4 linked regions of the Schizosaccharomyces pombe genome follow. The gene in region 4 interacts genetically with the main gene of each other region. Each region holds a gene or a part of one and is shown on either strand. Other genes may lie near its edges.

Evidence for each region.
Region 1: mutations in arf6 (region 4) and SPOM_SPAC10F6.14C together harm fitness more than expected from each alone (negative genetic interaction), as found in Schizosaccharomyces pombe (one large-scale study listed by BioGRID).
Region 2: mutations in arf6 (region 4) and gst1 together harm fitness more than expected from each alone (negative genetic interaction), as found in Schizosaccharomyces pombe (one large-scale study listed by BioGRID).
Region 3: mutations in arf6 (region 4) and bmt2 together harm fitness less than expected from each alone (positive genetic interaction), as found in Schizosaccharomyces pombe (one large-scale study listed by BioGRID).

The regions. Positions count from the first base shown.
Region 1 is NC_003424.3:1,229,301-1,237,785, reverse strand, and holds SPOM_SPAC10F6.14C (ABC1 kinase family protein), read left to right. Parts: upstream 1-3,744; 5' UTR 3,745-3,862; coding exon 3,863-5,470; 3' UTR 5,471-5,524; downstream 5,525-8,485. Other genes in the region: SPOM_SPAC10F6.15 (uncharacterized protein), read right to left, coding at 821-2,119; caa1 (aspartate aminotransferase), read left to right, coding at 5,769-6,998; protein-S isoprenylcysteine O-methyltransferase Mam4, read left to right, coding at 7,716-8,426.
Region 2 is NC_003421.2:1,716,491-1,724,127, reverse strand, and holds gst1 (glutathione S-transferase Gst1), read left to right. Parts: upstream 1-4,057; 5' UTR 4,058-4,113; coding exon 4,114-4,803; 3' UTR 4,804-4,985; downstream 4,986-7,637. Other genes in the region: SPOM_SPCC191.10 (uncharacterized protein), read right to left, coding at 1,851-2,300; ribosome biogenesis protein Lto1, read right to left, coding at 6,973-7,377. UniProt on the Schizosaccharomyces pombe protein: Involved in the oxidative stress response and detoxification.
Region 3 is NC_003424.3:361,164-368,737, forward strand, and holds bmt2 (rRNA (adenine) methyltransferase Bmt2), read left to right. Parts: upstream 1-4,281; 5' UTR 4,282-4,386; coding exon 4,387-5,199; 3' UTR 5,200-5,279; downstream 5,280-7,574. Other genes in the region: protein mug177, read left to right, coding at 394-711; mug58 (glycerate kinase), read right to left, coding at 1,606-2,439; protein Vps55, read left to right, coding at 5,638-5,654, 5,710-5,728, 5,805-5,877, 5,942-6,026, 6,130-6,185, 6,232-6,368; SPOM_SPAC630.12 (lipid phosphatase), read left to right, coding at 7,409-7,574.
Region 4 is NC_003423.3:4,374,142-4,382,054, reverse strand, and holds arf6 (ADP-ribosylation factor-like protein Arf6), read right to left. Parts: upstream 6,327-7,913; 5' UTR 6,199-6,326; coding exon 6,093-6,198; exon of another isoform or gene 5,994-6,092; coding exon 5,963-5,993; exon of another isoform or gene 5,761-5,962; coding exon 5,688-5,760; exon of another isoform or gene 5,633-5,687; coding exon 5,434-5,632; exon of another isoform or gene 5,391-5,433; coding exon 5,245-5,390; 3' UTR 4,878-5,244; downstream 1-4,877. Other genes in the region: chr4 (SEL1/TPR repeat protein1, 3-beta-glucan synthase regulatory factor Chf3/Chr4), read left to right, coding at 1-415; ribosome biogenesis protein Nop16, read right to left, coding at 818-1,301, 1,424-1,569; trp1 (anthranilate synthase component II), read left to right, coding at 2,555-4,834; fmd1 (glutathione-dependent formaldehyde dehydrogenase), read left to right, coding at 6,980-7,012, 7,170-7,213, 7,321-7,913. UniProt on the Schizosaccharomyces pombe protein: GTP-binding protein that functions as a molecular switch for the activation of 'new end take off' (NETO), a process in which the directions of cell growth change from a monopolar manner to a bipolar manner in fission yeast.

The sequences.
Region 1 (8,485 bases), on a different chromosome or scaffold from region 4:
TAGTTAGTTGAAGGAGAAACGTTTGGCGATGGACTTGGCTACAAAAAGTTATTGTACCGACCTGTCCAGCATTCATCATCAGTCCTTTGAGTGTACGATATTTGCGCATGGGCTTACTGATAGAGAATACTACCTACAAGTAGGTATTATATCTTTCATTAAAGACATAGTAAATATCTGTCATTTAAAACAGATATTTTGTATATCCTCTAGTACGTATTGTTACTTTACTGTAATTTGCAGTCGAAAAAATTAAGGAAATTGAACAACACAGTTCTAATGTATAAAAGTAAATATGGTGGAAAGTTTAAAGAATATTAAGGTTCGCTTAGTTTTCTGCTCAGCAGGCAACCGCAAAGCGAAAATAGGCATTGTTTTTATTCTTATACTTACAAAAGGAACGGAAACTGTAAAGAATACCGAGTAAGGTCAAGAATTTTTTGGTTTCTGTTTTTGTTTTCTTCGCTTTTACGTGATTTTAATTTAAACTTTTGTATATCATTTATAATTCAGTCATGTCATTCCCCAACCAAATACATAAGGTCAGGATGTGAGTGTAGTTCGGTAATAATGTGGGTAAAAAATCGTTTCGTTCCCGTTGTCACAAAACGATAATTCGGTCCACCGATTCACCATAGCTGGTCAACATAAATCATCTGCTTCGTTAGATTTTTTAGTAAAAGCAAACTCAATTCCTTTCGCATATAACTTTAGGCTCACCCATCAAGCTTGATGTTGGGTTCTTTTTTGTGAAAGATGTTTTCGGATTGGCGAATTCAGCCAACTCGAGATTTTCTTCGGAATTCTATCAATCCTCATCTCATTCAGCAGGTATAATCAGTTGAATCGCTATATCTTCTCCATTTTCATCTGAAGGTGTATCCAGACAATTCAATGTTAGTCTATTGGTTAAGCAGTTATCTTTTGACGAGCAAAAATTGCTTGATTTTGCTGAACCTGCTTCAGAAAAATTTGGTAAATTTGGCAATGAATGAAGACCCGTTGGATTATTGAACAATTTTTTCATGTTACACTCCATCTCGGCGTTGAATTGGCGACATTTGCAGAGATCTAGCAACAATTGGTTATAAAAGTCACATTCCTTTTTGGATGAAGGCGGATTCTTAAAGATTGCACCATCACTATTGTACAAAAGCAACGTCGACTCTGGTAGTTTACCGAGAAATATATTTTTTTTCATATTCAAATAGAGATGGATTGGGAAGGCATAACCGTTTGAGCCAATACAGTGAATCATTGCAATCCAACCGATGTCTGCTTCAGAATTAGCACACTGAAGAATTTTGTCAAATCCATCAATTTCATAAGGTAGATTATTTTCCAATAGCGGCTTACGAAGCTGTACGTATGACTGAAAATTCGACGAACTTACTACAATGCAGTTACATGTCGAGCCAAGAGCAAAGATATCCCTCGGATTTACCAAATACATGCGAATATTTCCAATTTTCTTCTGTACAGCTAACTTTTGGACAGTACTGTATGCTTCTCCTGAATTGTTTACATAATGCTCAACTGCTGCCCACAAGGCTTCCTGAAGACTTTTCGGGTAATATTGATAGAGCATGACATGATGAATCAAAACAGTTAATGGAAATTCGCCCGAACGTAGATAGTCGCACAAATATTTAAATAGAGCTTGATGATTTCGAAGTAGATGCGAAACTGCTGTCTGTATACAAGAATGATTATCGATCAAGTGATAAACCTGATCAGGAAGGCAAAACCCGCTCTCATCCATTTCATAACCAATTTTCAAATAGACACCACTAAACGTATGGAAAACATAAGATAACCAACCATCATAAAACAAATTTGGAATGTCAAAGCGATCTGGCAGCTCGAATTCTTTTAACTTGAGAATTTTACATGTACACGGTATCCACGAAATTGAGTCTAAAAGTAGAAAATGCGTATTGTGAGGATATTCAATATCTGCATATGTAATCGCAGCCATTGGATTTTCACATTGGCATTTCATACAAGCCAATTGGCGCTTATTTCGACGCATGCATAAAATTAGAAATTTCGATATTTTCAGAGCGAATTTGTGAAGTATTGTTGAATGAAACTTGACAACATTTGCATTATAGTTCATGGAAAATAATAACTATGTTTGCATAACACTAACAAGTATCAGAAATTATAGTTATAGGGAAACCTCAACAGAAATTAAGCACTTTACAATATGCCAAAAGATCCAGCTTGAACCAGCTGGCAAAAAAAGTAAAAATGCTGCGTTGTAGGATTAAATCAAATTAGTAATGAGAGAGGTAAATCATAAAATCCCATCGTCAAGAGATTACGAGCAATCTAATTTTGAAGGAAAAAAGCCCGCAAACAATAAATGATGCCAAAAATTCGCAACCAAGTAATGTAAACAATAACACAGCTGAGCTACTGCGACTTATGTTATTATGCTACCTATGCTATTTCCATCACTAAACCAAACTGTTACTACCGCAATTAGTAAAACATTGATGGCGGCTAAATTTGCAGTTCTTTTGCTTGACTTATCTCTGAAAATTTAATGCATGGATAACATATCTGAACCCCAAACATTCGTTTTTAACGAGCCTATGCCAACGTACCTTAACACTTTCAATAAGAAAAAGCAAAACTTGATATCACGCTACATAGCACCTATAATTCATTACAAGAAAACATAATTCATTAAATAACGTAAAACAGCTCTAGAAACAAAAAACTTATATGAATACCAAAATCAGACCAAATAACTCAACAAGACGCTATCGCGTTTCAGTGCTTGACTCTTTGTATTTGTCGATCATCATATTTTGGGAAAAGCTACATTTAATAATATGCTAACTAAAAGTAGGTCTGGCTTGATTCGAACAAGCACTCCGACAGAGTAAACCAAATTTTCAAACCTTTTTCTTTAAGGAAAAAAACCTTTGAGCACGAGACTAAGCCCCATTGTGATACATCAACAAATGGATGCGACCGTATAACTATCAACTACGACGAAAAACCACAATTCAGAAATGGCGTAATCAACCATACCGTTCGTACACTAGACGCTCAAGAAACACAACTCATAGACTGTATTCCTTATCTACTCCATTCTGGACAAGGAGTTATATCTCTTGAGGTTTAAAGTACAAAGGCTAAAGGAAAAACTAGCGCCATTAATGAAACCGCTGATTCTTCAAGTCAGCACGTTACCGCCTGTCCCAATCTCCATGGAGATCAAGACGCAAGAGTCCGGGGACTTTCCCTAAAGCTGTTTAGAGGAATAAAAATTCCTGTATGACTGCTTCAACCACGATCGTTCGAGCTCAAAGGTATCATTTGGAAAAATTAAAGTGGAAACAGTGGTATATATATTACTGACTATTTACGTGACTGTTTATAACCCTAACCTGTTTTTGGATTGAATAGATCTGTTGCTCTGCGATTCTTCGACGAGCAATTGACCGACATAGCATTTAATACTTTCAGTATATCAATGAGCAATGTTCTTAAGTGTTATCGGAGCTGTAGTAGCATATCACCTTGTAATAAAAAAGTTATTGACAGAATCCCTCATTCATAACGACTACACTGAATATCATTATTTATGAATTGTGTAATATAATGTCTAAAATAATAGTATACTGGCGACGTTATCTTCAGTTAATTTATCAAAAGTATGATACGCTAAATGGGAGAATGCATTTCAATGGCTGCCTTAGGTCAGAAAGTTGAGAATGTTGAAAGGACACAGCGCCAACTTGATCTATTTATGATAGTCCCTTTACTACCTTCCTTGAATCCAAAGTGTTGAACTTAGTTTACTTCTGCTCAAATTCGTCTTCTTCAAAGCCTTCATCCCGTAGAGATGTTGACTTCGTGGAGAACAATTTCTCTACTGCAGAAAACTACCAGTCGCTTCATTAAGCGATCAAAGACATATGCTGATGTACGTTATAACAGTCAAGCATTGCAAAATCATGGAGTTCCTGGTAACAAACGTAAATGGATGAAGAGGTTCGTATTTGTTGGTGCTGCTGGAATAGGTGTCTACGCTTGGGATCGAGTGTATAATGCCCATGCACTTACCCGTAGTATTAGAACAGTATACACCGCTTCTATAATTGCGGCTGACTATAAGTTGAATTTCAGCGAAAAAAAGGCAGACAAAATTGATGCTTTGCACCAAAGAGTAGCACAGAGACTGTTTAAAACGATTTACAAAAATGGCGGTTTATACATCAAGATGGGTCAAATCATTGCTATGCAATCAAATAATTTGCCTGAAGCGTATGGGAAAGCCTTTCAGGGAATGTTTGACAATGCACCTCAAGTTGAATGGGAAGAACTTCAAGACATATTCAAAGAGCAATATGGAAGACCAGTAGAGGAAGTATTTGCCAGCATTGAGAAACGTGCTGCTGCAAGTGCCAGTATTGCGCAGGTACATCGTGCTGTTTTACCTAGCGGTGAAAAGGTCGCGGTAAAAATTCAAAAACCAGATGTTGCTAAGCAAATGTCGTGGGATCTTCTCGTGTACAAATACATGATGTATGTTTATGATAAATGGATATTTCATATCCCTCTCTACTTTACGGTTGATTATGTCTCGGAAAGATTACGTTCTGAGGTTGATTTTACAACTGAAGCTAACAATTCGGAACATGCTCGTGAAGGGGTAGAAGAAACTGATTATTTAAGAGATAAGATATATATACCAAAGGTTTATAAAGAGATTTCTGGAAAGCGAGTAATGGTTACTGAATGGGCTGATGGCATTCCCCTCTATGATCAAACTGCTCTTTCTGAAGCTGGGATGAGCAAAAAGGAAATTTTAACGAACCTTTTCAGATTCCTTGCCTTCCAAATGTTTCATTCGAAACAAGTTCATTGTGATCCACATCCTGGAAATATCCTTGTTCGAAAAAATCAAGCAGGCTTGTGTCAAACGGTAATTTTGGATCATGGGTTATATGTATTTGAATCAGAAAAGTTTAGAAAAGAATTTGCCTTGCTTTTCACTGCAGCCTATTCATTAGACAAAAAATCTATTCTTCAGGTAATGGATGCTTGGGGGATTGGACAACCTGAGCTTTTTGCTAACCGCATGTTAAATATTCCAATGGATGAAGAGCAACCTCACACTGGTGAAAAAATTATTTCAAAGAAAGAGGCCTTCCAACAGCAGCTTGCTGAACGCAAAAAGTTCATTGGCTTCTTACAGGACTGCACTCGTTTACCGAAAGAGCTGTTAATGCTAGGTCGCTGCTTAATGCTTATTCAAAAAAATAACCAAAATTTTGGGTATCCAGTGAATAGTATAGCTGTTATGGCCAAGGTTGCTGATAAATACACTACCGACAAACCTAGTCCAACTTGGTATCAACGGCTGTTGTCGCCTATTTTTTGGGTCTTTCAACATTTATTTTACCCTGGAAATTTTCGGTTGCCTGAACTTACTAATGATAAAAAATGATATTTATAGTAAAGATTACTTTTCTTTATGGAAAGCCAATCTTTGACCATAATAATATAACTTCACATATTGCCTACTTTTCTCGATAAGACACTTCAGAGCTCCTCCTTGTAAAAGTTAAGCTCCTCCCTATACGAGTCAAACTTTGTATCGTTATTCACTATTACAGTACATCAAGCTCGGTATCTTATATGTCAATGAAGTATACTGATAATATAGTGATACTAAACCGAGTGATAAATATATATATATAGTAGATCAGTAAGGTTGAAATCTACCTACCGCATATTTAACCACAATGTCAGACTACGGGTTTGCAAATATTGAGGAAGCTAAGGCAGATGCAATTTTTAAATTAAATGCTCAATACCATCAGGATGAAGATCCCAAGAAGGTTAACATGAGTGTTGGCGCCTATCGTGACGATACTGGTAAGCCTTGGATTTTGCCTGCAGTTAAAAAAGCATCTAAAATAGTGGAAGAACAGGCAAGCTTCAACCATGAATATTTACCAATTGCTGGATTGCCTCGTTTCACTAAGGCTGCGGCTGAAGTTCTTTTCAGACCCAATCCTCATTTATTGTCCGAGGACCGTGTTGCATCTATGCAGTCAGTCTCTGGTACTGGTGCCAATTTTCTTGCTGCTAGTTTCATTGAGACTTTCTATGTAAAGCACACTGGAGCCCATGTATACATCTCCAACCCTACTTGGCCTGTCCATCGCACTTTGTGGGAAAAATTGGGAGTCACTGTAGATACATATCCTTATTGGGATGCCAAGAATAGATCTTTTGATTACGAAGGCATGCTAAGTACCATTAAATCTGCTCCCGAAGGAAGTATATTTTTACTTCATGCTTGTGCTCACAATCCTACTGGTATTGACCCCACTAGGGAACAATGGCTTTCTATATTCGAGAGTCTGCTTTCTCGCAAGCATCTGGTAGTTTTTGACATTGCTTATCAAGGTTTTGCCAGTGGTGATCTGAATCGTGACTCTTGGGCTCTAAACGAGTTTGTCAAATATAACAAGGACTTTTTCGTTTGTCAGTCATTTGCTAAAAATATGGGTCTTTATGGTGAACGTACTGGTTGCATGCATTACGTTGCAAAGGACGCTTCCACTAAAAACAAGGTCTTATCTCAATTGTGTATTGTTCAACGTAACACCATTTCTAACCCTCCCGCTTACGGTGCACGTATTGCTGCCGAAATTCTTAACAGTCCTCAATTGTTTGCTGAATGGGAACAAGATTTAAAGACTATGTCTTCTAGAATCATTGAGATGAGGAAACGTCTTCGCGATTCTCTTGTTGCACTCAAAACCCCCGGTTCTTGGGATCATATTACACAACAAATTGGAATGTTTTCTTTTACCGGTTTAACGCCTGCACAAGTCCAATTTTGCCAGGAGCGGTACCATCTTTATTTCAGTGCAAATGGTCGTATTTCTATGGCTGGTTTGAACAATTCTAATGTAGAGCATGTTGCACAGGCATTTAACCATGCTGTTCGCGAGTTGCCTTAAACTGATTATTAATACCAAAGTCACATAGATAAGTATTGGATTCATGAATACAGAATTTTGGATTGTTGTAAATTTGACGAATTTAGGAACAAATTCTTTAGCAATTTAGAGAACTAGTATATGCATTTATTCTTTGAATTTTTGAATAATATGAAGTTATCTGTTCAACTCATACACCGGGACTTCTCCTTTGTGAGTTAGACATCAGTATTTGGCTCATTATTTGCAAAACAAGTTGATATCAGTTTGTAATCGGATATGTTTAGACAAAACTGAGAAAGAGTTCTTTTTTAATAATTCATAACTTGCAAATTGATTAATGACAGAGTATTTGAATTCTTTGTTATATCGAGGTTTACTACATTAATATAATACAACTTTTAGCAACTATTAGAGCCAATACAAAGAAAAGAAGTCAAAACTTAAGTAATACAATATGAGTATGATTTTCTTTGTTTTACTTCCCTATTGTGTCAACTATAATTTTAAGCAGGAAATTTTGAAAATATCCTAATAACTCGAAAACCAGGCTAAAGCAAGGAATATCCCTCTTTGCATAAATTTTATTTCTTCTCGTGTCTTTCCTCCAATAATTAATAATTATAACATCTCTAAATGTGTATGAGTTAGTTTGTTAGGACATTTTGACTCAATAATTCTTCTCGATAAATTTAATAAAGAAAGTTGAATTCACATACCTGAATTTAATATACAATCATGGGGAATTTACATACGTCAATAGCTGTAGCATCTATTTGCTTAACCAGCGCCTTTCTTGGTTGTGTTTTTGGTTTGGGATTTTTCGTATGGATTATATACGGATATAGTATTGGAGGTTTTTTTGCATTTCTGAGTCTTTTTCATCTATTAGAGTTTTACATTACTGCTCGTTTTCAAGGTAGTCAGTTATCATGGGATTCTTTCATATTGAATAATGGCAAAGCCTACTGGTTAGCGATGTTAGTCGGCCTTTTAGAATGCTTATTAAGTGGCGGAAAAAGTTTTGCTAAGGTAATAAATTGCTTAAGATTTCCGAGCTTCTTAATCAACTTTATATTTTCGGTATATCAGACATCTGCTCTGGGATTTCTTTGTTTGGGACAATATCTACGATCCTCTGCAATGGTACAAGCCGGTCAATCTTTTTCTCACATTGTAGCTAGTAAAAGAAATAAAGATCATTTGCTTGTCACTGATGGGATTTATGCTTACGTTAGACACCCATCATACGTTGGGTTTTTTATCTGGGCTTTGGGCACTCAAATGTTGTTAGGAAATTTTGTCTCAACATTACTATTTTCTCTAGTTCTTTGGAAATTTTTCTCACAGCGAATTACTACCGAAGAAGCTTACTTAGTTAGTTTTTTTGGTGATTCTTACGAACAATATCGAAAGAAGGTCCCATCTGGAATTCCCTTAATTCCATAGGTTCACTATTATTGTTATTTGAATAGTTGATAAAAGCATACTTAAATAATTTGTATCAT
Region 2 (7,637 bases), on a different chromosome or scaffold from region 4:
AGAGACCGGCCAACAACGAAGAAGCTTGAGTCTTTTTTTTTGGTGAGAATAGATTTAATGTTTCAGCTTTTGATAGGTGTTAATTGATTTAGAGTATTCAACAAATTATCATATTCCGTTGAAAGGGAGACGAATTTCTGTAATATTCAAGCAAGCGAGCAAAGGATGAATGATCAAGAAAAACAAAATAGTTTTAGAATTTTTTTCACAACAATTAAATAATCAGTTCACTTTCTCAACAATTACACAACGAAAGTACAAACCAAGGATAGAATCAGAAAAGGTCGCAAAGAATTAGGGAATGGACGAGGAAAAAAAGTCGTTTAAAATTCGAATAACAAGAGAAGCAGGAAAAAGGAATGATTGCTTTTATCAGCAGAAAAATAGTTTCGACGAATGGATAAAGAAAAAGCGAAGAAAAAAAATAATAATAATAATTTCTTTATTTTGATTCAAAACAATTCAAGATGAAGAACCTTCAGTCAAATAGGTAATGAATTATAGCGGTTTATTTTTCTTTTCTTTTTCTTTTTCTTTTTTTCTTTTTTTTTCTTGAACGATTACTATCCGATGAAACGATGAAAGGATCTTTTAGAAAATGAACTATAGATGTTCCAACCTACAGATCACAAAGCAATAAAGACCTTAAAAACGGTAAATCTGATCGAAAGCAGTGAGTTTGAAAATTATGGATGACCAAAAAAAGCGCAGCTAACGGTACTATATATACATCCGAAATTTCCTTTCTCCATCAAATGCATAATATCTTGCTAAATATCGCACCTTGTCATGTTTCTCATTTGCGTCACTTATAGCTACACAAAAAGTCGATCATGACCTTCCGAAATTGCAGCGTATGTACTAAGGATTACGGAAGTAATGCGGAGATAAGATTCGGCAAGTTTTAGACAACGTTTGGTAACGTGTTCATTTTCGATCTAAGGTTGTGCTGACAATGTCTAAGATCGCAGTATGATGGCTAGAATGTCGATGAATTGAGCTCTCAAGATCTATCTTATATGTTCTTCTAATGTTCAATACATAAGATGTATTTTGAGACTTCAAAACTCAGTTTCATTTACTTGAAAACAATACAAAATGCAGTCTTTTCAAGCTCTGTGTCCGCAACTTAAATTCCGGTATATTGTCGCCTCCATTGACGATCTTTCTTGAGGAGAATGATGCCGACAGATATGAAAGTAATCGAGGTTTTGGGACGTCAGTCAAAACCAATAAAAGAGAAAGTAAAAGTAGAACAATGAAACTCAATCTGTTTAACAGGAGAAACTATTTAAATGGAATTGTACAGCAATAAGCTAGGCAAAGTAAAAAATGGATCGATATATCGTATTTAGGGGATGTGTTCTTATTTGCGTATTATCCAATTCGTTATAATGAAAAGGATTCTAAAGAGGAAGGAATGAAAAGGGTCCTTGCTAATGAGAAATGAAGAGTTTTACAGAATGGTGGTGCTTCTTAAAGAACAAATGATAGACAATTCTTGTGTTTTACGTCTCTTATGAGTTTTATTTTTATTATATTTTTTTATATATATTTTTTTTTCTATTTTTCTATTTTTTTGCTTCACTACTTATAGCTTTTCGTACTCTATTTTTTACTTATAATACTTACGATGGGTAAAAGTTGTATGAACCAACATGTGTATGAACCAAATGAGCCAACAATTTCTTTTTTCTTTCAATTTTTATTTGTTCATCTTAATCATTATATATACTATTCTTCTATCTCATACTATTCATCTGTCTATCCCTCCATTCAAACTTACTCCCACTACAAAATGTCATTTACAAAGAAAACCGGTTAGCGATGTCTCGTTCCAATTCGTTATATCATCTACCTAGAGGCAATTGAGGAGAATGCGTTTTTAGACAAATTTGGAAAAAGTTTTTCCTTATAGATAAATAGATTCTTGTCATCTCTGTAAAATCTTTTCCGCCATTGCACTCAGCCATACTGGTTTCTATTCTTACTTCCGTTTTCCATTTTTTCCGCTTCCCAACTAACTCATCATCCTTTCCCCCAAGGTCCGTTACATCATTTACCCCGCAACTGTGGGGTAAAAAAAAGAGCCGAATTTTCGTTTGGAATTGCGAAATTTCCTGTCTCCCACAAGAAGATCTCATAATGTTCATTTTTGGGGATAATTTAGGAATCAAATGGGCATTTATTGCTTTTCCTGCATTCTTCTTGAAAGATGGATATTTCTCTTCCTTTTGATCCGAACGGATCAAAAGTCGTGCTGTCCACATATCGTTGTATTTCCGTCTGCTAGAATGCATCATCAGCAATCTAGACGTATCTTCTTGTTCTCGACATCCTTTTCCAAAAATTTTTAATTCTGAAATCTATCAGCAACTCCCTTAAACTCAAAATATCGATTCCTTTATCTTGAGGAGCGATGGATGGGCTAGAAATTTTGATTCAATAGGTAGGTTTTTTTTTTTGCAATTGCATTAGTAACTGTTTGGAGGTAAATTGAAATAACAAGCATTACTTAAACCCTTTGCCTTTTTTTTTGAATCTTTTTTTTTAAAAGGAATCGTTTGTAGAGTACTTTGAAACTGCAGCCTTAATTCAACGTCTTCTTGACTACCTTTATTTTCCAAATTATGCGAACCTCGCTTGCATGCGACTATACAAAAAATAAGGAAACCAGTCTCGCATAAAATTAAATTTAATTTTAATCTTCAAAGCATCTCGATTTCGCGGACTAGGATCCTGGATAAATGCGTTGAAACTAAGCCGATGGGTTGTAAGAATATGGGAAAAGCTGCAATGTATCACATTGAATAGTCAATTGAAGGACATGGAGCTTTGAGCTTGTTGAATGAATAAAAGTTTTTGATGAATAAACGTTATTAGACATGATTGTATTTATCGGGTTTCGACTTTAAAAGTTCAATCAATTAATGAAAGACGTAAAAGCTGGACGTTTATTGAATAATCCAAAAAAGGTTATTTTTATATACTTTTAAAAAGAAAAAAAATAGTATTTAACGGATATAAACATGTATTGGTTCATGTACTTGCTTTACTCTGATCAAGTTGGTGTATGCTTTTTGGTTTCCATTGCTCTTTTTCTGATTATAATGCAAAATTACTCATCGTGTTTGCAGTTATGTTGAATAGCTTTAAAATTTACGTATCGTATTGTCAAGGTAGTAAATGTAAACAAAAAATTTTCATAGGGAATCATTACCAATTCGCTTACAGAAATTAAACATATTACACTCACTGTATGATGAAAAATAAAGTAGATTTCGAAATAAGATTATTAGAGTGAAGAGAATTTTAAATTGATATGTGAGAAACAAAACTCCGTCATAACTAATCTTTACAGTTGAAAATCCAATTGTGAATCCCTAGCATGTTTGAATTAATATGTGCAGTAGTCTAAAAGCAAGTTTGACACGTTGGTTTTTGAACAGGTGGTGAACAAAATAAATCTCGAGCGTATGGTTGAGACTATTTTATTATTTTTATATTAACTTTATCATAAGATGTCTATTCAACTGACTCGTAAATTCTGAAAACTACATGTCTTAAGAACCTGAAACAGTTTTAATTGCATTTGAATTTGGAATTGCATTAAGCCGACCCTTTAAGAAATTAAATATAACACTAAGCATACGTTTATTTCCCACAAGGATTATACATAGTTAAACAAAACGAGAAGTCAGTCCCCACGCACTATATGTTGGTAGAAATTTTACATGAAATTTTGATGCATTACAAGATTGATTAAATGTAGCGTGTAACCGGCTAACAGGATTCAAATGTATTAGTAAATGGAATCGGTAGTAGATTTATCTTTCTTTGATCACGTTTTGACATAAATCATAACTTCCGGCTTGTCGTCAGCTAATCGAGTAAAATTTAGTTGAATCCACGTATGAGTCTAATGTATGATCGATTAGTAAGTTGGATGAAATTGATCAACTCGATTTCGGGTGTTTTCCAAAATTTTTCATAAATATTGCATACGCAATGGAAGTAAGAATTGTATATAAAATGGTAAAGATGCTCTTTATATTTTAATCCATTGCCAAACTCCTTTCATTTAACAATAGAACACACTCAAAATAAAGTATCATGGCTCAATTCACTTTATGGTCGCATGCTCATGGTCCTAATCCATGGAAGGTGGTTCAAGCGCTGAAGGAGTTGGACCTTACCTATGAAACCAGATATGTGAATTTTTCAAAAAATGAGCAGAAATCCCCCGAACACTTAGCCTTAAACCCTAACGGTAGAGTACCTACCTTGATTGATCACCACAATAACGATTATACCATTTGGGAATCTGATGCCATTTTAATCTATTTAGCTGACAAATATGATACGGAAAGGAAGATATCTTTGCCTCGTGACCATCCTGAATACTACAAAGTTATACAATATTTATTTTTTCAAGCTTCTGGCCAAGGCATCATTTGGGGACAGGCTGGATGGTTTAGCGTCTATCATCAGGAGCTAGTCATATCTGCCATTACCCGTTATAGGAATGAAATCAAACGTGTTCTAGGAGTCCTCGAAGATATCCTTAAAGACCGTGATTATCTCGTGGCCAACCGGTTCACAATTGCTGACTTATCATTCATTTCATGGAATAACTTCCTTGAAATTATTTTTGCAGAAGGAAAGTTTTCAATCGAGGAAGAAGTGCCTCAGCTCGACTTTGAAAAAGAGTTTCCTAGAACTTATTCCTGGCATCAAAGACTTCTTGCCAGACCTGCTAGCAAGGCTACCTTCGAAGAAAGATCAAAGGCTTTGGATAATTAAGTGAATTTGTGGCGTCTATCTTGATAATAACGTTCCAATATTTCAATTGATTGATTGATTCTTTATATTTCAAAATTCATGCATTGTTTACTTTCCTTTATGCATATAGATATAGACTCAACTTTTTCGTTTCATACATCAATTGTTCAAGTGCTCTTTCAATAATATCATCTTTAAACTATGATTTTCTACTATACATTCCGAAAATATATACAAAGCAGACCATGTAACATCCATCGTATTGCTCTTGCTAAAATTGGTATTTATTGTTTGGAAAAGCCAATCATCAAAAGTAAAAAATATAAAATGAAAGAAGGGATAGCTGTAATCATGTCGAAATGACTTGAGGCGCTAATTTTATTTTATTTTTTTATTGTTACTATCTTTTTATTTTTCTTATACTACAAGACCTTTTTTATTTTTTTTTTTTAAATAATGTCGTCAATTTATTGAGAAAAGTTCAATGATTTTATTAAATTTTTAAGTAAATTATAAATATTATGTCTAAAACAAAAGCTCGAATAAATAATAATCAAATATTGTTTTCTTTATATGTTGGGCAGGCTTGTCTTATATTTTTTATTTTAATTATTCTGAATATTGTAAATAAGATGAATTCAAATACTCATGAACACAAATATAATGTAGGGTATGAAGAAGTGATTCATTATCGAATTTAGAAAGGTCCTAATATAAAAAACAAAGAGAAAATCAATATAAGCAGTCGCTGTATATTAAATTATCCAATTTGCTTAATTCAAGAGTGTTCTTATAAAGCTCAAGAATATGATAATTAGTAACAAAGCAAACTAGGCCGCCTGTATTTTGTACATGATAGTTTCAATTTTAAAGTATTAGAGCAAAATATTAAACAAGGAAACAAGCAAAAAAAAAAAACTATTAAAAAACAGATGATACCTATTTATGAAAACAATAGCGTATAATGAACATGAACGTATTGCACTAAACAAATTAGCGAGTTACAATGCCTAAAAAACACAGTCACATAACAATACTGCTTTCCATTTTGGTGTCGCAAACTATTTAACAACCAGTTTTTATTAAATCGTAAATAAACGTTGTTTTTTATTTCGTTTTTTGTTAGGACTTCCTTTAATTAAAACTACCTTAAAAAAAACAACTTCTTAGTATGGATATCTCTTAAACTTGAATTGTAGTAACGGTTGCTGTTAACTGAAATGAATAAAACGATGAAACAACATTTGATAGCCATTGTCCTTGGCCTTATCGAAGCTTATCTAGCTGCAATTTACCAGTTAGAAAAGTCAAAAATAGGCCTACAAAATTGGCAAATGCCGGTAACGATTATTTTTGCTTTGTTTCGCGAAATCTTTAGTGAACGAAAATCAAGGCTTATAATACATTTTTAGAAAGTTGCACATTTCACATACAAAATTTTTTATTTATTGCTATCCTGGTATCTATATAGTCGATGAATATTTATTATTTTTATTTTTTAAATCATTAATTGTATGGTAAACTGGGGAATTGTAATGATGTTTAACTTGTTACGATGTCTTTATTTTGTGTCTATAAACTTTTGTTCTAATGTACAACAAACTTATTAAACTGGACAAGCAAGTAATTATGCCGGGGAAATGTCTATACATAGGATTATCATATACACAGCAGCAGCTAATGTGCTAATTCATGAACGCATATGGCAATCATAAAGCGGATGTTTAATATTTGATCCTTTTCTTTTATTTTCTACGAACATTAATGAAATCATCAAATTGCCATAAGAACAAAGCAATATTATGGGGATGCCATCCAGTCAAACACACCTACTAGAGTTAAAAGAGACAGATGCTAGTACTCATTAACTGGAAAAACTTGGCTGACAAGAAAAAAGATCTTGCGGTTTTAATTTCCATCTTAATGTACAAAATGTTTTATTTAGCTTCCAAAACGTTTCTAACCATAACGGATGAAGAAATTGATTCCATTCAGAATGAATTAGCCAAAAAAAAAAACGACTATTCACTCACTACATGCAGCTTTCTTTCGAAGGGAGATATTGTCAAGAAAAAGAACAAATGCCAGGATATCAGATATAATCTGCTAAAATATAACATAATCAATCATGTAAAGTGAATGTTTTCAGGAATATTAAATACCTTCCATAGTATATTTGCTCTGAAGACATTACTCAAAGCCATCATTAGCATCAATTTTTTCAGCGGGAAGAATCTTAGTTCCTAAAAGACTCGATACCACTTTGGCTTTGGCTGTAATTTTGTTCCAGTAAGAGTCAAACCCAGCATCGGTCTCCTCCAGTTCATTGTTGGTGGGCAACGACTCTAATAACGATTTCAACTGTTCTAAATGCCTATGTGCCTTTTTAATTTTAGGATGTTGTGAATTTTCTTCTTTCAACCAAAAACACACGCGTCCATAAATTTCACCCGCCAGTAAATATTTGTTATAAGCATGCTCGAGTCCAAACAAAAATGCTTCCTCATACCCTTGCTCAATTCCCTTTAAAATTCCTTCATCATAACCACGTTTGTACTCATTTTCTTCCAATTTGGTCACTTCCTCCCAGTCCATGCGGCAGTGTCGTTTTGTAATAATTTTTGCCAAAAACTGAGAATTTGCAACTTACAGAGGATTAGCGGCTAACCTTATTAGATACAGCACAACACAGTGATATATAGTTCCTGCAGTATAATGTCAGCAATACTACACTACGCTATAATACACTACGTTGAGTATCACTATATGTCACATGTTCTAATTATATATCGTACCATGTATGATACGATATGGAGATTGATCTTAATGATAATCTATTAAGATCAATATTATCT
Region 3 (7,574 bases), on a different chromosome or scaffold from region 4:
AAAGACAGATATAGCGCCAACAAAAAAAGCCGACAATAACAAGGACAAAAAAATTCTACTTGTCCGTATACTGTGCAGTTACTATTCTTAGCTTGCAATTAAAGAATGCAAGGTACTAGTACGATCGTTCACCTAAAGGGTTACTTTATGTGATAGTTGTAAAGGAAACGATATCTTGGCTTATATATCGCTGGTGATTTACCAAACAGCGAAAAAATCATCTGAGGTAAACTCACGCCATTTTTTGGCATACAAATTTTATCAGCGGATTAGCCATTTACAGTTCAAAGATTACGATTTATATATTTTAAATGGCTCTCAAAACTCTTTAGATATTTGGACTTCTTTTCACATATACCTATTTTCGTTTGTCCATAGAGGCAAGGCTTGGAAATGTACCCAAAGATAGTGGCGAGGTGCATGATAGTGATAACTAAAAATAGGGAATCAGAACGCAATGTGTTAATTTGTTATCGAAATGTAACGAATGTTTATTTTTCGCTCCGAATTCTCCTAAATCGGCAAAATGAAGGGAATAATTGCAAGTATAAGCTTGTATTTTCTCTGTATCGAGTATCTTTCAGACGGATGAGGCTGAATGATCGGCAACTCTCTTGCGTAGAAAGCGTTACTAACGGGATCGGTTTACTGTGCCTTAAACAAGCCGACCAAGTTTGTCTATTTACTCCGACGGTTGATTCCCATCTGTGATTGCATCTTTTATCCTTCATATTGAGTCATCCTGAATGGTCCGCTCAAAGGGAACTTCGTCTATCTCGGTGCGCTTAATAAACGCTTGTTTTCGTGATGAACAAACCCTTTGCAGTGAACCCATGACCTTAATCGTTTCAACTTGACATACGGCCAATGAGCGTAGTGACATTAAATAAGAGTATCGAGTTTTTTCTTCTTTTTCCACTTTTCAAATTAAGCTAAATTCAATGTTTCGTTGAGTTTCTGTATGTAACAGCATATGAATGGCATGTGGTATTGGAAACAATGTGAAAGCGGATATCAATATTGCATTCGTTTAAATTACTGGTTTTTATGACCTCACATACAATCATTAAAACGGCTTTCGACTACATGCGACCAACAGGCTTTCACCATTGTTTTGTTTTTATTCATTTCCTTTTACCTACTGCTATTTTATTACTCGCTGGTATCATTATTTCATGACTACTGGCAATAAGCATATCAACAACCGCCCACCGAATATCACATTATTAAAAATGCTTGATATTTCTAGTTAACAAACTTGTACTTAAAGCGTCACAACCGAAGCAAACCAATAAATAGCGAAAAAGGCTATTCGCCATGGGAGCATTTATTAGAAACGGTGAATTGTCGAACGTGATAGCAGCGCATTGTTAAGTTTTACAAAGATGGTTTACATCGTCTAAAAGCAGCTTGCTAGAAAAAGCATACAACAATATCATAAAAAGCTTTTGTCGGTCAAACCTTGATGGGTTACTTCAAAAGAAAGTTGGAATTAAAGAAAAAGTAGAGGTAAAAACTTTGTTCAAGGAAAGGGGGGAGCGTAAAAAGTATTCCAAAGTACAGGAACGCTATACAATCATGGGATTTAAATCTTAGACAAATACATCAATGCATAACAACAGGATATCGGTTCTCATCAAGTATGATTTCCAAACAGTGTGGATTCAGATGTACTTTATTAGATAAGGTACCAAGATAAAAGACATATTGGGGCATATAATGATTAACAAATTCAATGACTTCTTCATCACTCATACCCTTGTGGATCCGAGCTTTCAAAGCATGCTCTTGCTGCAGTCTCCATCTGTAAACATAGTTTATCTCTTGTGCCTCTAGTTCCACCAAAGAGTCAATTTTTTGAAAGATAGGCTGATAATCTGCAAGCTTTCTGTTTACCCACAGTAAACTTCCTTCAATATTTTGCCAACGTGTTGATCGTGCTCGGACAGACAGCATGCAAGAATCGAGCGGCTCAAACCCAACCATCCATCCTTCAAAAATTACATAGGTAGTTGTTTTAGGATTTGCCTTTTTCCATTGGGATTCATCTCCCCTATCTCCGTAGCCACCAAACTTGGATTTATCGTAAAAAGGGATAGATACCTCCTCATCGCTTCCCTTAACAAATGCATTTAAAACATTATTTAAAAATGTGACATCATGGGTTCCAGCTAAACCACGATGTTGAACAAGAGGATTATTGGGATTATTTTTGGCCAATTCAACTTGTTCTGCGTGCGTGAGGTAAAAGTCGTCAAGTGAGAACTTCACAACTGATTCGTTCTTCCTTGTTAATTCGGTATCTAAAGCACTTGCCAGTGTGCTTTTACCAGATCCTTGAGGGCCGGAAATTCCAAGAATAAAAGGACGACCTTCAGGTTTTGGCTGCTTTTCCAGGAATTTTAAAATTTTGTCGACAATGATTTCCAACGAACTCATATTCCACTTCTATATAAAATTTTTAAATTAAATACAAAACCTAGCTTCCCCTTAAAAACGACTTAATAACATAAGTATAGGAAAGACGTAGGACTAATACTCGAAATGTGAAAGAAAGCGAGGTGCTGTAGCTATATGAAAATTCAATGTTAAGTACCACAGTGACTAGATACTTTCGTAACGACTACCAGTAAAGGACTACAAACACAAAAAGCTTTTTAAAAGGCTAAAGTCGTTATGCAATGGTTGGATTTTACCAACAAAGTTTTGTTACGGGATGTTGTATCACTAACATTCCGTTACGTCTCATTTGTGCCAATATACTGAATGCTTGCGTAAACTCTGTAATACTTGGAAACGGCTTCACTGCGCCTCACTATTTGGAAAGTTGTAACGCTGTAAATGTTTTGTTTTTACCTATAAGTAAATAGAAGATACATAATAAAATTTGGTGATGCTCTGGATTTTCAGGGATAATAGAATTTCTGTAGTTATATTTTCTACAATGACGGCTAACTTTTAAATTGTTTAATCTTGATGCCATGCAGTATAGCTCAAATGCTGAAGAATTTAGGTAATATGCATTTTATACTTTGTCTTTAAATTGTCATACTTGTCTCTTGCGACTTTTATAGCTAAATAATAATATTCCAGTGCTAACGTATGTGTTTTTTCTATAGTAATCCAAAAAAAACACGCAATTTATTGTGTCAGTAAATAAAGTAACTTGTAAAAATAAGTTTAGCTGAAATGTACAACAATCAGTCCCCCATCCAATGCGATAGCAGCCGCAGTTACAAATATTATTTATATTTAATTATTACATTTTGTTTACAGGTACATAATGTTTGTTAACACTTTTTGTACGTTTAATTAAACTAAAAGTATTTATTTTTTTAACATATACTCTAAAAAATTAATTTACTCAAGTTTGAGTTATCAAGAAAATTTAATCTACAATAATTATTTTTGAAGCACTTATTTGTTTTAATAGTATATAGTCTGGTGAAACAATTAGAATTCGTCTGTAAGTAGTAAAAATACAAAAATGTTTCTATGGTTTTCATATCATAAATACTTACACTTCACCCGTTTAACTTAAAAACTTAAGGTAATCCGTAGTACACCAAATTCTTTTCTTTTCTTTTTTTATTTTTTTTTATTTTTTAAAATGTATTTTATTTAAGAAATAATAAATAAAGTCCCTTATCCAATTCCACTAGATATAAATCGTTAGTTTAGAATTTACCAAAATACTTTTCAATAGCTGTCGTATATACATATTTATACACATTTATTACTTTCTTTTAAAAATAACTTATATCAATTATATCGTAACGTAACTGATGAGTGGAATCATTTAAAACAATTTAAGAGAGAAGTTGATATTGGCTGTTTATTTATCCGAATTTTTTTATGTTATAGTTCTACCATATTTGGCGGTTGTTTTCTTTATTTTGATTATTTTTTAAAAACAATTGAAAAAGTTTAGTTAATAATCAAGTAAATCTAATAACTATATATACAGTTTTCAAAGCACAATATCAACTGAGGCTTCGTGGTGTAGTGGTAGCATACTTCGTTTGGGTCGAAGTGGTCAGGGGTTCGATCCCCCTCGAAGCCCAAAGCCTTTAAATTTTTGTTTCAAATATAAAAAAAGTTGATTTGTGCTTGTAAAGTACAAACCGTATAAAAAAAGGAAACCCGTTTAATATTCTGTGTAATGGTTAAAGGGTTGCATAAATTACCGCTCTTTAATTACATATTAAGAATTTATCATACATTGTCCAAGCTCTTCTTGTGCTGAATTTTTATAAGTAACGCGACACTACTTCTTTCATCGTAAAAACTTTTCAAGTAATTAGGAAACTACATTTATGAACCATTTACTGTAAATACAATTATATTTTCATCTGGGAGATTAACAAATATTTTATCACTATTTGAATGCGTCCCATTCCAGTGAAGAATCGCATTGGAAAAAACAACATTGATAATGCAAAGGGACTGAAGGGGAATAAGCTTATTCGTCATTATCATAACCTGTTAAAAGAGAAATCTCGACTTATTGCGTCAAGTGCTCCGATTGAAAAAATAAAAAATGTGGAAAGTGAACTCGAAAATATAGGTATTGATGCTTACCAACGAGCTAGTCGATCCGGTCAAGCGGAAGGAAAAGGAGGGGATTCAAGTAAAATATTGATAAAATGGATTCGGACAACTCCCTGTTTTTCGTATTGCGCACGTCTTAAGGAGCCGAAAGATTTGTTGGAAATTGGCAGTGTTTCTGTTGACAACAAATGTTCAACTTGTGGACTTTTCCGAGTTTCAAGGATTGATTTGCATTCTGTTCATCCCTTGATTAAACAACAGGACTTTCTTGAAAGAACTCCTGAAGAAGGACTTTTTACTGGGATAAGTTGTTCACTTGTGCTGAATTTTGCACCTCCAGAACTCCGAGCTAAAATGTTATTACATTGTACAGGATTGTTAATGCCTCCTAATAAAGAACAGCCTCCTTGGTTATTTTTGGTTTTGCCTTCGCCTTGCATAACAAATTCTCGGTACATGGATGAAAAAACATTACACTCAATTATGATACAGTTTGGATTTATCTGTCGTCAAAAGTCTATATCGAAAAAAATAGCCTACTATTTATATTCTTACGAGTGTTTTCCTATGAAAGAAATAGACTGGAAAAAGAAGATCGTTAATGATGGGGCAACTAGGAATAATTTCTTCATTCCCTGTATACTCTAATTAAGATATTTGTCAATACAAAATTTATTTTACTAGTATCTCAAAGTTAAATTAATGAAATGAATGCTTTTTGTCGGTTATCCTCTTGCTTTTTTTTAATTGTATTGTTAATGTCAATTACTAGCCTTTACTTACGTAGCTACAAAGTACGTTTTTCAGAGTTTGTTCGTATGCGATACTTTACTAATGAGCCGAAAGCTCGATCATTGGTGTAAAAAATAGTAACAAGTCATTTTCGTTATATGTCTTTTTAAACTTATTTGCCAAGTTTACAAATCTTGTGCACCGCTCTGTGTTCTATGCATACAGAACACATCTGTATAACGTAATGGAGCGTACCCTTTTTAGGTGAAGTAGCTGGTAATCATCGAAGTCTCTCTTCTCAAAAGCAGTAAACTTTAGCTTGCAGTATATATTCGTGAACGATAGTAATTAAATATGTCCGACCTCAGGAAGTAAGTAATTTTTGTTAATATGAAAAAGCAAAGGTTAACGTTTGTCACCAATTAGAATTATCGGTCTTTCTTCGGTATGCATCGCTCAATGACTCCTACTCGAGCTAGACATCAATTCCATTTTAAACGAGTCTAACTTATATTATTAAGGTCCTGGCAGTAGGATTTATGCTGGTGATCCTGTCTTGTGCTTTATTCAAGAATTGGTATCCACTGCTAATTGGTATGATTTTGTCAACCGTTGAGAACTATTTCATTTACATTGCTTACGAATTACTAATGAATAGTCATTCCATTCATTTTAGCTCCTCTTCCTAATCTCCTTACGAAAAAATACTCGACAAGCCATGACTTTTTACAAGAGGAAGACAGGTATGGAAATATAATAATGTTGGTTGTTCTGGGGAAATTATTTCAACCATAATTGTTATTTTTCATTATTATTTGTAAGGAGCTCTACTAACGTTTACTAAAGAAATCTTCTTGACTTTGGTCGATTTACATTCGGTGCAACCATCTGTACCGGGTTTGGTATGTATTTATAACTGAATGAGACCTTTATGCTAATTTATAATAGCTTTACCCATAGTATTTGTTAATGTCGGATTAATTGGTACTGCTGCTGCTACAATGAGTTGCGTTGGTGGATCTATTATATTTCTTGTTATTACTTTATATTCTCAAGCTTTTGTTCAACACGAAGAAGAATTTTAATATTTATTTACTTGATTATTAATTGCTCGTTTAATGCTTGTCTTTTCTCATACTTTGCTCTCCCCTTAGTATTTCTTAGTGTCTGAAGAGTTATAAGGATTCGTGTTAATATTAACAGTTTTCTTGAATTTTTCAGATGTTCAATTTCACGGAGCATTGCTTTCAAGTCTTGATTCTTGAAGTATGTTAACGAAATATCTTACTCATTGGCTTTTGACTATAGTTAACCTGTTTCTCTCGTTTTTGGGTGCTTTTTACTATAAGAGAAATACTGGAATTTTTCAGTTTCTTGGAATTTTTATATTGATTAAATATCTAGTCATTGTCAAAATAGATATTACGTTACATATTTAAACTAGTAATTAGTAAGGCCGAAGTATCACGAAAAGTCACTTTTATGATAAAATTAAACTATAGAATGTATTCGTCTATATGAATTCTGGACCTTAATAGTTTTCTATATGAGTAATTTAAAATAAGATTGTACCTTTCTCTGATTAGGCGACATTTAGAACTTATCCTCTCTAGCTACGTGCTTCTGAAGATTGTTCAATATCGACCTAAATACAAAGCAATTAATGAGTCAGTTTATAAATTAAATCAATTAGAAGGTGAATATTACTTGTTGAGTGAAAATAGTGGGTATTCAATCAAGAAATTGAGCACCGCAAAGCTTCATATTAAGATTCTCTACATGAGGCCAGTCGCTTCTTGAGCCAAAGGTCCTTCAGTTTTCCAAACTTCACAATTTTTGAAGTCTTTACTAACAAGGTTTATCTAGAAGAAAAATACACCTGTTTCAAAGTCATACTAAGAACAGGAATAATAAATTTAACTAATCATTAGGGTCTAGTGTCATTTCTCCAACATTTCGGTTTTATTGTAAACGTGGAGTTTCATTAGATTGCTTTGAAATTACTCGACCTTTATTCTGCATCGATAAATTAGAACGTAGTGTATATACTTGGCATACTATCTCGATTTACTATTCTTACTTTCTTAGAGCGTGCATTTTTAATAGAAGAAAAGAATAACTGAAGATGAAAGTAGGTCGTTTTTTAGTCATAATTGCTTTTTGTTTTTATGTTCTTTATCTCGAGAAAATTATTCATACAAGGCCACATAAAAAGTGCGATTGGCGGTCTTGGGAGCAATGGGAGAGTACTGGGAATCCAGTAAGGATTGCATTGGTTGCGGATCCTCAAT
Region 4 (7,913 bases):
GGATTTAGCCTTTATGCATGCTGAAAGAGCCTCTATGGCTGGTAATGCTAATGCTCAATTCCTGATGGGTTATTTATTCGATACAAGAGGTAATACAGAACAGGCAACATACTGGTATAATGAGGCTGCTAAAGCAGGACATAGTGAAGCAATTGAGCGGTTGGCACTTCTAGAGAATCAGATTCAGGAGCCCGAACCAGAAAACATAACTTCATCACAATACCCAAATCAAGACGTTATAAAAGAAATACCTGTTACAGCCTCTGAAACTTCTCCACCGCACGCACCAGCTGTCTCATCTACCCCTGTTACTTCTGCGCCCCCTGTTTCGCAAACAAAAGTTACAAAGGTTTCGGTTCCCAAAAAGACATCTAAAAAGTTTCTTATAAAACATAACAAGTGTATTATATCTTAAGTTGGCAATTTTTGCTCCCTTAGAACATCATTTTTATCATTGGAATCGATTTCTCCCCGAAATTTCGTTTTAGTGTTCAATTGCATTCACATAGCATAATCCGGTTTTTATTTCTCTCATTTGTCCTCGAATTGTCTAACGCTCATTTATAATTGTATAGTTAGCTGATATCCATTTAAGCAATTTCTTTTAAATACATGTTTTCATTCACTACTTTTTCGATAGTATAATACAAAATTGGATCACGAAGAAATACATACTGTGTAATTATTGTTTCATACAAATTAGTCGTCTCAATATTTGCTTTCTAATAGAATTAATAGTATTGAAATAAAAATTTATTAATTTAAATATACCTAGAACACAATCACCATTTTACCGTCCGTATATCACCATTGATGTTTACTTTGTAGCCTTCATGCGAATATACAAATTTTTGAGCTTAGATCCGTTAAATAATTTAGAATTTAATTTAACGTCTTTGGCCATACTTTCAAAATCTTCAGTTCCGTACTTATTTATAAGTCTTTGAATATATGCATGTTCAAATGCACTTAAAGGAAGCATTTTGTTAGACTGTCGAGCTGCTTTTTTTACAGCTTCTTCTTCTAGTTGACGAACAACCTCCGTTTTAGCCGGTGCAATGCTAATTTCTTTGTCTAAAACATCATCAAGTGTTTTTGCCTCTCCGTGAATAATCTCAATAATATTTCCGTCATCATCTCTTCTAACAATTGCTTGACCAGGTGGTAAAGATTTTTTCAATTCATCCAATTCCTCTGAGGTAAGCTCACGATCCTCATTTTCACGTTTAGGATCAGGATAAAGCTTCTCAACACCTCCCGTAACATAATTAGGAGTAGCTAAAAGACCCAACCTCGCATAACTATTTATTTGTTAATAGCAATTCTATAAGAAAGAAAAGAACATAAGACCAAGAAGGAGCGCAAAACTTTTTCCTCAATTTTCATTTGTATAAAACAAATAAAGCAATACTTATTAACTTACTTCTGCCTTAAGGTTGCATGTTTATCCCAATTTTGTTGAATCACAAAATTTCCGTAAATTTTGGCCTTCGCCTTTTTGTTAGCATTACGCCTGGTTAAACGAGGCTTTCCAGATCTTTGCTTATTCCTTTGTCTAGGGTTTGCCATCTTATCTATTTAGAGATAAATGGGGGGAAATGGAAATTGGTAAGCAATCAAAAAAATTTGGTTGTTCGTGAGTTTAAGTGGAGGTGAATGTAGACTACGTGCAGTATGTCTACATAATATTTCAACGAAACACAATAAGATAGTTCTGTGACCTAGTTTAACAATGACTGTTGTCCATTTAATTTATATTTCTCAAATTAATAGACGTTGACAGTTATCACATTTATCATCAATCCTTTTGGTATTGTATAAAATTTAAGTACCCTCATCTTTTTTTTGTCTACATTATAAAGCTGTATGAATTGTGAAACGATATAATATTCTCATAGAGATTTCAATAAAATCTTGAAACAAAATTTATAAATTGATCTTCCTCAACGAATACACTAATTTTAGTGGCATTCCAATATCTAGCACTAACTGTAAATTTCTAAAAATTCCCAAGAATTGTTGAAGTCGAGAAATCATGTATTTTACGTGTCGAATTACCAGAGTAAACAACAGCTATAGGATACTTTTAAAATCACTGTTTAGTCATTTGGTTTACAACTTTATTATATTAACAGTTTTAAATGAACCGACAATTGAAACACCAATTTTTTAATTATTTTTTTATGCCTAATTAAAGATTATTTTTATGATTTCGTTATTCCCTAACCCCAGTATAAAAAAAATTTCGTTTTCTCCTCGTCAAACTTCTTCTTTACCTGCTAATTCTAGTACAATAGTACAACGATTGTTATCGTTATTTGCTAACGTTCATTATGCGATGATTTCTTAGTTGCAATGTCTTAAAACCAAATATATTTTTCGTTGCAGTTCGCAAAATACATTAGCAAGAAACATCGCTTCTATACTATCTTTCCCGATCATTCAAAAGTCGAAATTGTCATTTGCCATCATCGGCTACTTTTTCATTCAGCATTTTTGGTTTTGAGTTTTTGGAAAATTAACGTTAGCACGTCTCAATTATAACAAGCTGAAAATGTCTGAAAAAGTTGACGTTGGTGAAAGCGTCAAAGGAGACGCCTCAGAAAATGCAGTTAAAGAAGTTGCTGAAAGACCAATTGTTATGATAGATAATTATGACAGTTTCACCTGGAACGTTGTTCAATATCTTTCTAATCTGGAAAAACGATATCCTATTATGGTTTTTCGCAATGATGAAATCACTGTCGATGAATTAGAAAAACTTAATCCTTTAAAACTAGTTCTCTCACCTGGGCCTGGACATCCTGCGCGTGATGGTGGTATTTGTAACGAGGCTATTTCGAGATTTGCTGGAAAGATTCCTATACTTGGTGTGTGTATGGGACTTCAGTGTATTTTTGAGACAATGGGTGGTAAAGTTGATTCCGCTGGTGAAATCATACATGGAAAAGTTTCTAAAATAAATCACGACGGTCTCGGATTTTACCAAGGAATACCTCAAAATATTTCTGTAACAAGATATCATTCTCTTGCTGGAAAAATTTCATCACTTCCTGATTGTTTGGACGTTACAAGCTGGACCGAGAATGGTGTAATAATGGGTGCACGCCATAAAAAGTATGCTATTGAGGGTGTTCAATACCATCCTGAAAGTATCCTTAGTGAGTATGGCAAAGAGTATATTCAGAATTTTTTGAATCTCACTGCTGGAACCTGGGAAGAAAATGGCATTGTTATGCCTACAAAAAATAACGCATTTAACGCGGCTATGCGTGAAAATTCGAATTCTGTTTCTTCAACTAAAATTCGCAAACAAGAATCTATCCTTGAGAAAATCCACGCGCAGAGACTTATTGACATTGCTGAAAGTAAAAGAAAGCCTGGTCTTTCTGTGGGTGATTTGCAAACATATTTGAACCTTAACATAGCACCTCCATGTATAAATTTTTATGAGAGATTAAAGCAATCTAAACCAGCTTTAATGGCTGAAGTCAAACGTGCTTCCCCTTCTAAAGGTGACATTAAGTTAGACGCAAATGCTGCTATCCAAGCTCTTACTTATGCTCAGGTTGGCGCCTCAGTCATATCTGTGTTAACAGAACCAAAATGGTTCAAAGGCTCATTGAATGATTTGTTTGTTGCGCGAAAAGCTGTTGAGCATGTAGCTAATCGGCCTGCAATTTTGAGAAAGGATTTCATTATTGACCCTTATCAAATTATGGAGGCTCGTTTGAATGGTGCTGATAGTGTATTGCTAATCGTTGCGATGTTAAGCCGTGAACAATTAGAGTCCCTCTATAAATTTTCTAAATCTTTGGGCATGGAACCGTTAGTAGAGGTTAACTGTGCTGAGGAAATGAAGACTGCTATAGAACTTGGTGCTAAAGTTATCGGCGTTAATAACAGGAATTTGCATAGTTTTGAAGTAGACCTTTCCACTACATCAAAATTAGCCGAAATGGTCCCAGATGATGTTATTCTTGCAGCTCTCAGTGGAATTAGTAGTCCTGCTGATGTTGCCCATTATAGTAGTCAAGGTGTATCAGCAGTTCTTGTTGGTGAATCTCTTATGAGAGCTTCGGATCCTGCCGCTTTTGCACGAGAGTTACTTAATCTTTCTTCTAGCGAGATATCTAATGGTAAAAAAACATCAACACCCCTAGTGAAGGTATGTGGTACTCGTTCATTGTTAGCTGCTAAAACCATTGTAGAATCAGGAGGCGATTTGATAGGGTTAATTTTTGTGGAAAAGAGCAAACGAAAAGTGGACTTGTCCGTGGCCAAGGAAATTTCACATTTTGTTCATACAACCAATAGAAAACACATTTCCCCAAAGAAAGCAGTGACTGGTCAAAGTTGGTTTGATCATCAGTATGAAAATCTTGCTTCCTCTCCGCACCCTTTGTTAGTCGGTGTGTTCCAAAATCAACCATTAGAATACATTCGTTCTATAATAGCAGAAGTGAACTTGGATATTGTCCAGCTTCATGGACAAGAACCTTTCGAATGGATACATATGCTCGATAGACCTGTTATTAAGGTGTTTCCGCTAAATTCTTCTGAAATTTCAAGGCCCAACTATCATATTGTACCTTTGATTGATGCATATGTCGGTGGAGAGTCAGGAGGTTTAGGCAAGAAAGTAGACTGGGAAGCTGCATCTTTCATTCCAGTATCTTATGTCTTAGCTGGTGGTCTAACACCTAAAAATGTACAAGATGCTATATCTGTTAGCCGCCCAGCTGTAGTCGATGTATCGAGTGGGGTGGAGACTGACGGGAAACAAGATCTTGAAAAGATCAAGGCATTTATAAACGCCGTAAAAGAACTTTAACTTGTCTACATTAAATCAAGTTTGTCTAGATGTTTTTGGATACATATCATGAGACTTCGCTTAAAATAACTGGTTTTAGATTTTGTTGGATAAGAAGTGTGCGATAATTATATTATCTGGTTATTGATCACTTTTCTGTATTAAATTAAGAAATATTTTATTGACAAAAATGGCTGTTATCCAAATGTATTTGGCCGAATGAAGCACATTATAAAGTGATAGTAGGAATAGGGAAACGATTGGCAATAGTAAAGTTATATGCTAAAGAAAGAAAATGAATAGTAAAGACTGTACAGATTTAATTAAGCAACGATAAAGGGATAGAACGGAAGCTGATCGATGTAATTATTTGCAATTCTTGGGATAACGAACGAAATAAACACCATGTATTAACAAATCAAAGAAGCAAATTATTTTAACTTTGCGTTTTGACTTAGCCAAGCCAGACCCTCCAACAGCCCGTCTCCTGTAAGAGCACATGTTGGCTGAACGTTCCATAAACGATCCTTCAATTTGTCTAGCTGCAAAACATCGGTAATTTGAGCAGGTGAAAGAGCTACCATAGTGTTAGCATAAGTTATTCGGATTCGCAACCTTACCTCCAGGCAAATCCTGTTTATTAGCCAACACCAAAAGAAGACAGTCCCGCATTTCACGATCTGAAATAATGCGATGCAATTCTTGACGAGCTTCTGATATACGATTGCTGTCGGCAGAGTCAACAACAAAAATTAATCCTTTGGTTCCAGTAAAATAATGCCGCCATAAAGGTCGTATTTTATCTTGACCTCCAACATCCTACAAACAAATCAACGTTAGAACATGCTCGACCCAAGATTGATTATAAATATACCCAAACGTTAAACTTGATGTTTTTGTAAGTGACTGTTTCGACGTTAAAACCCACAGTGGGAATGGTGACAACACTGGCTGTTAGTTAATGAACACAAGAAAAATCAATTTCATTTACGGAAGCATAATTGCAACTCAAGATAATGCGCGACAGTAGACTTCACTGATTAATTAACCAACAGTCTTCGTAATGAAATCTATATCTACTATGCTAATACAGAAGCAGCGCATACGATACCTTGACACAATCGAAGAATGCTGTTTAGTGCTCTTTACCTTTGATTGAGTTTTAATTTGTATAAGATAGCTAAAATGTTAATAAAAGAGTTACCATTATTAAAACACCAAGTTAAGCACGATTATACGGAATGAAGACTGTAAAAATCCATCCGAATAAAAAACATACTCGTTTTTCCAGCTGCATCCAGACCTAGCATTAAGATACGCATTTCCTTGTTAGAAAACAACCGACTAAATGGCTTTGAAAACCCCTTAAATAGTGAATTGCCCATGGTATCAAATAATCCCAGAAGAAGATAACCAAAAGAAAGAATAGACCAAAAAAACCAAAGAAGTAGAATTTATATTGAACCCAGATACAGGGCTTTCTTCGTACTTTAAAAGACGGCTAGCACTAAACGTAGGTGCAGCTGATATCAACTCTCTCTGTCTGAAATATTTAATTAAGCCGAGCTGATACATAATGTAAATTAACGAGCTGCGTAACTGAATTATATGGAAGCCCATGGTCTTGTACTATATCGTAAATCCCATGTACGAATAATAAATTAAATATTAAGAATATTATTTTTATCGATTAACTTTTGGAATTTCCATCAAGTTTATTGAATAGAAACATTCTCATTCCCTTGCCTAATAACGCAGATTTATATTACTCAACTTTAACAGTGTATGTTAATGATTTGAAGCCTCATTATTTAAAGTATTTTTCAAAAAAAAATAAAAATAAAAAACAATCATATAAAATAACATTTAGTAGAAGAAGGCTTCAAGTATTGAATTATAAACAAACTAATGTTTTCGTAACATATGTTTCTATGCTAGCACTGTATTTTAAATTGTACTTTTTAATATTGATTCTTTATTTTTGTATGTATATCTCTCTATCTAGCAAGTGACTATTGAGATACAAGATCGACGATGATCGACAATTTTCATCCGAGTCGCGACCTATCTAGTAGTAAGCATATGTAATAAGTAAGTAGACCTAAATGTTAAAACTGTAACAGTCTTTCTACCAAATACACATTCTGAGATAGTCTTTAATGAAACATGTCTTTCGAAGGTAAAACGATCACTTGCAAGGTATGAAAAAGAAAACGTAAATCATTGTCTAAAGTGTAAATGATATTGGTGCTGTAAGTCCACCAAAGGTTTACTTTTGATATTATTGTTCATCCATGAGTATATGGATAATTATCTTTTATTTTTTCTTTCTGTGTACTAATAACATTCGTTTTAGGCAGCCGTAGCTTGGGGTGCAAAGGAACCTTTATCTATAGAGGAGTAAGTATAATGATGACAAAAGGAAAAGAATTTATACTTGAATTTTATTACTAACTTTTGACTTCTCTTCTGCTCATCAACGGGCAGAATGGGAGGTGATACTACAGTATTCAGGTTGCCCCTCCAAAAGCTCATGAGGTTCGTGTGAAAGTCGATTGGAGTGCTGTTTGTCACACAGATGCTTACACGCTGTCTGGTGTAGATCCAGAAGGCGCATTCCCTATTGTTCTTGGTCATGAGGGTGCTGGTATTGTGGAAAGCATTGGCGAAGGGGTTATCAACGTGCGTCCTGGAGACCATGTTATTTTGCTATATACTCCGGAATGTAAAGAGTGTAAATTCTGTCGTAGTGGTAAAACTAATTTGTGCTCCAAAATTCGTGAAACACAAGGTCGAGGTTTAATGCCTGACGGTACTAGTCGCTTTTCCTGTCGCGATAAAACGTTGCTTCATTACATGGGATGTTCTAGCTTTAGTCAATACACAGTTGTAGCTGATATCTCGCTTGTGGCTATTTCACACTCCGCACCTCTTCGCAGTATTTGCTTGTTGGGCTGCGGTGTCACAACTGGATTTGGTGCTGTGACACACTCTGCTAAGGTTGAGTCTGGTTCAACGGTAGCTGTTGTTGGATGTGGATGCGTAGGTCTCGCTGCAATGCAGGGTGCGGTTGCAGCTGGTGCTTCGAGAATCATTGCTA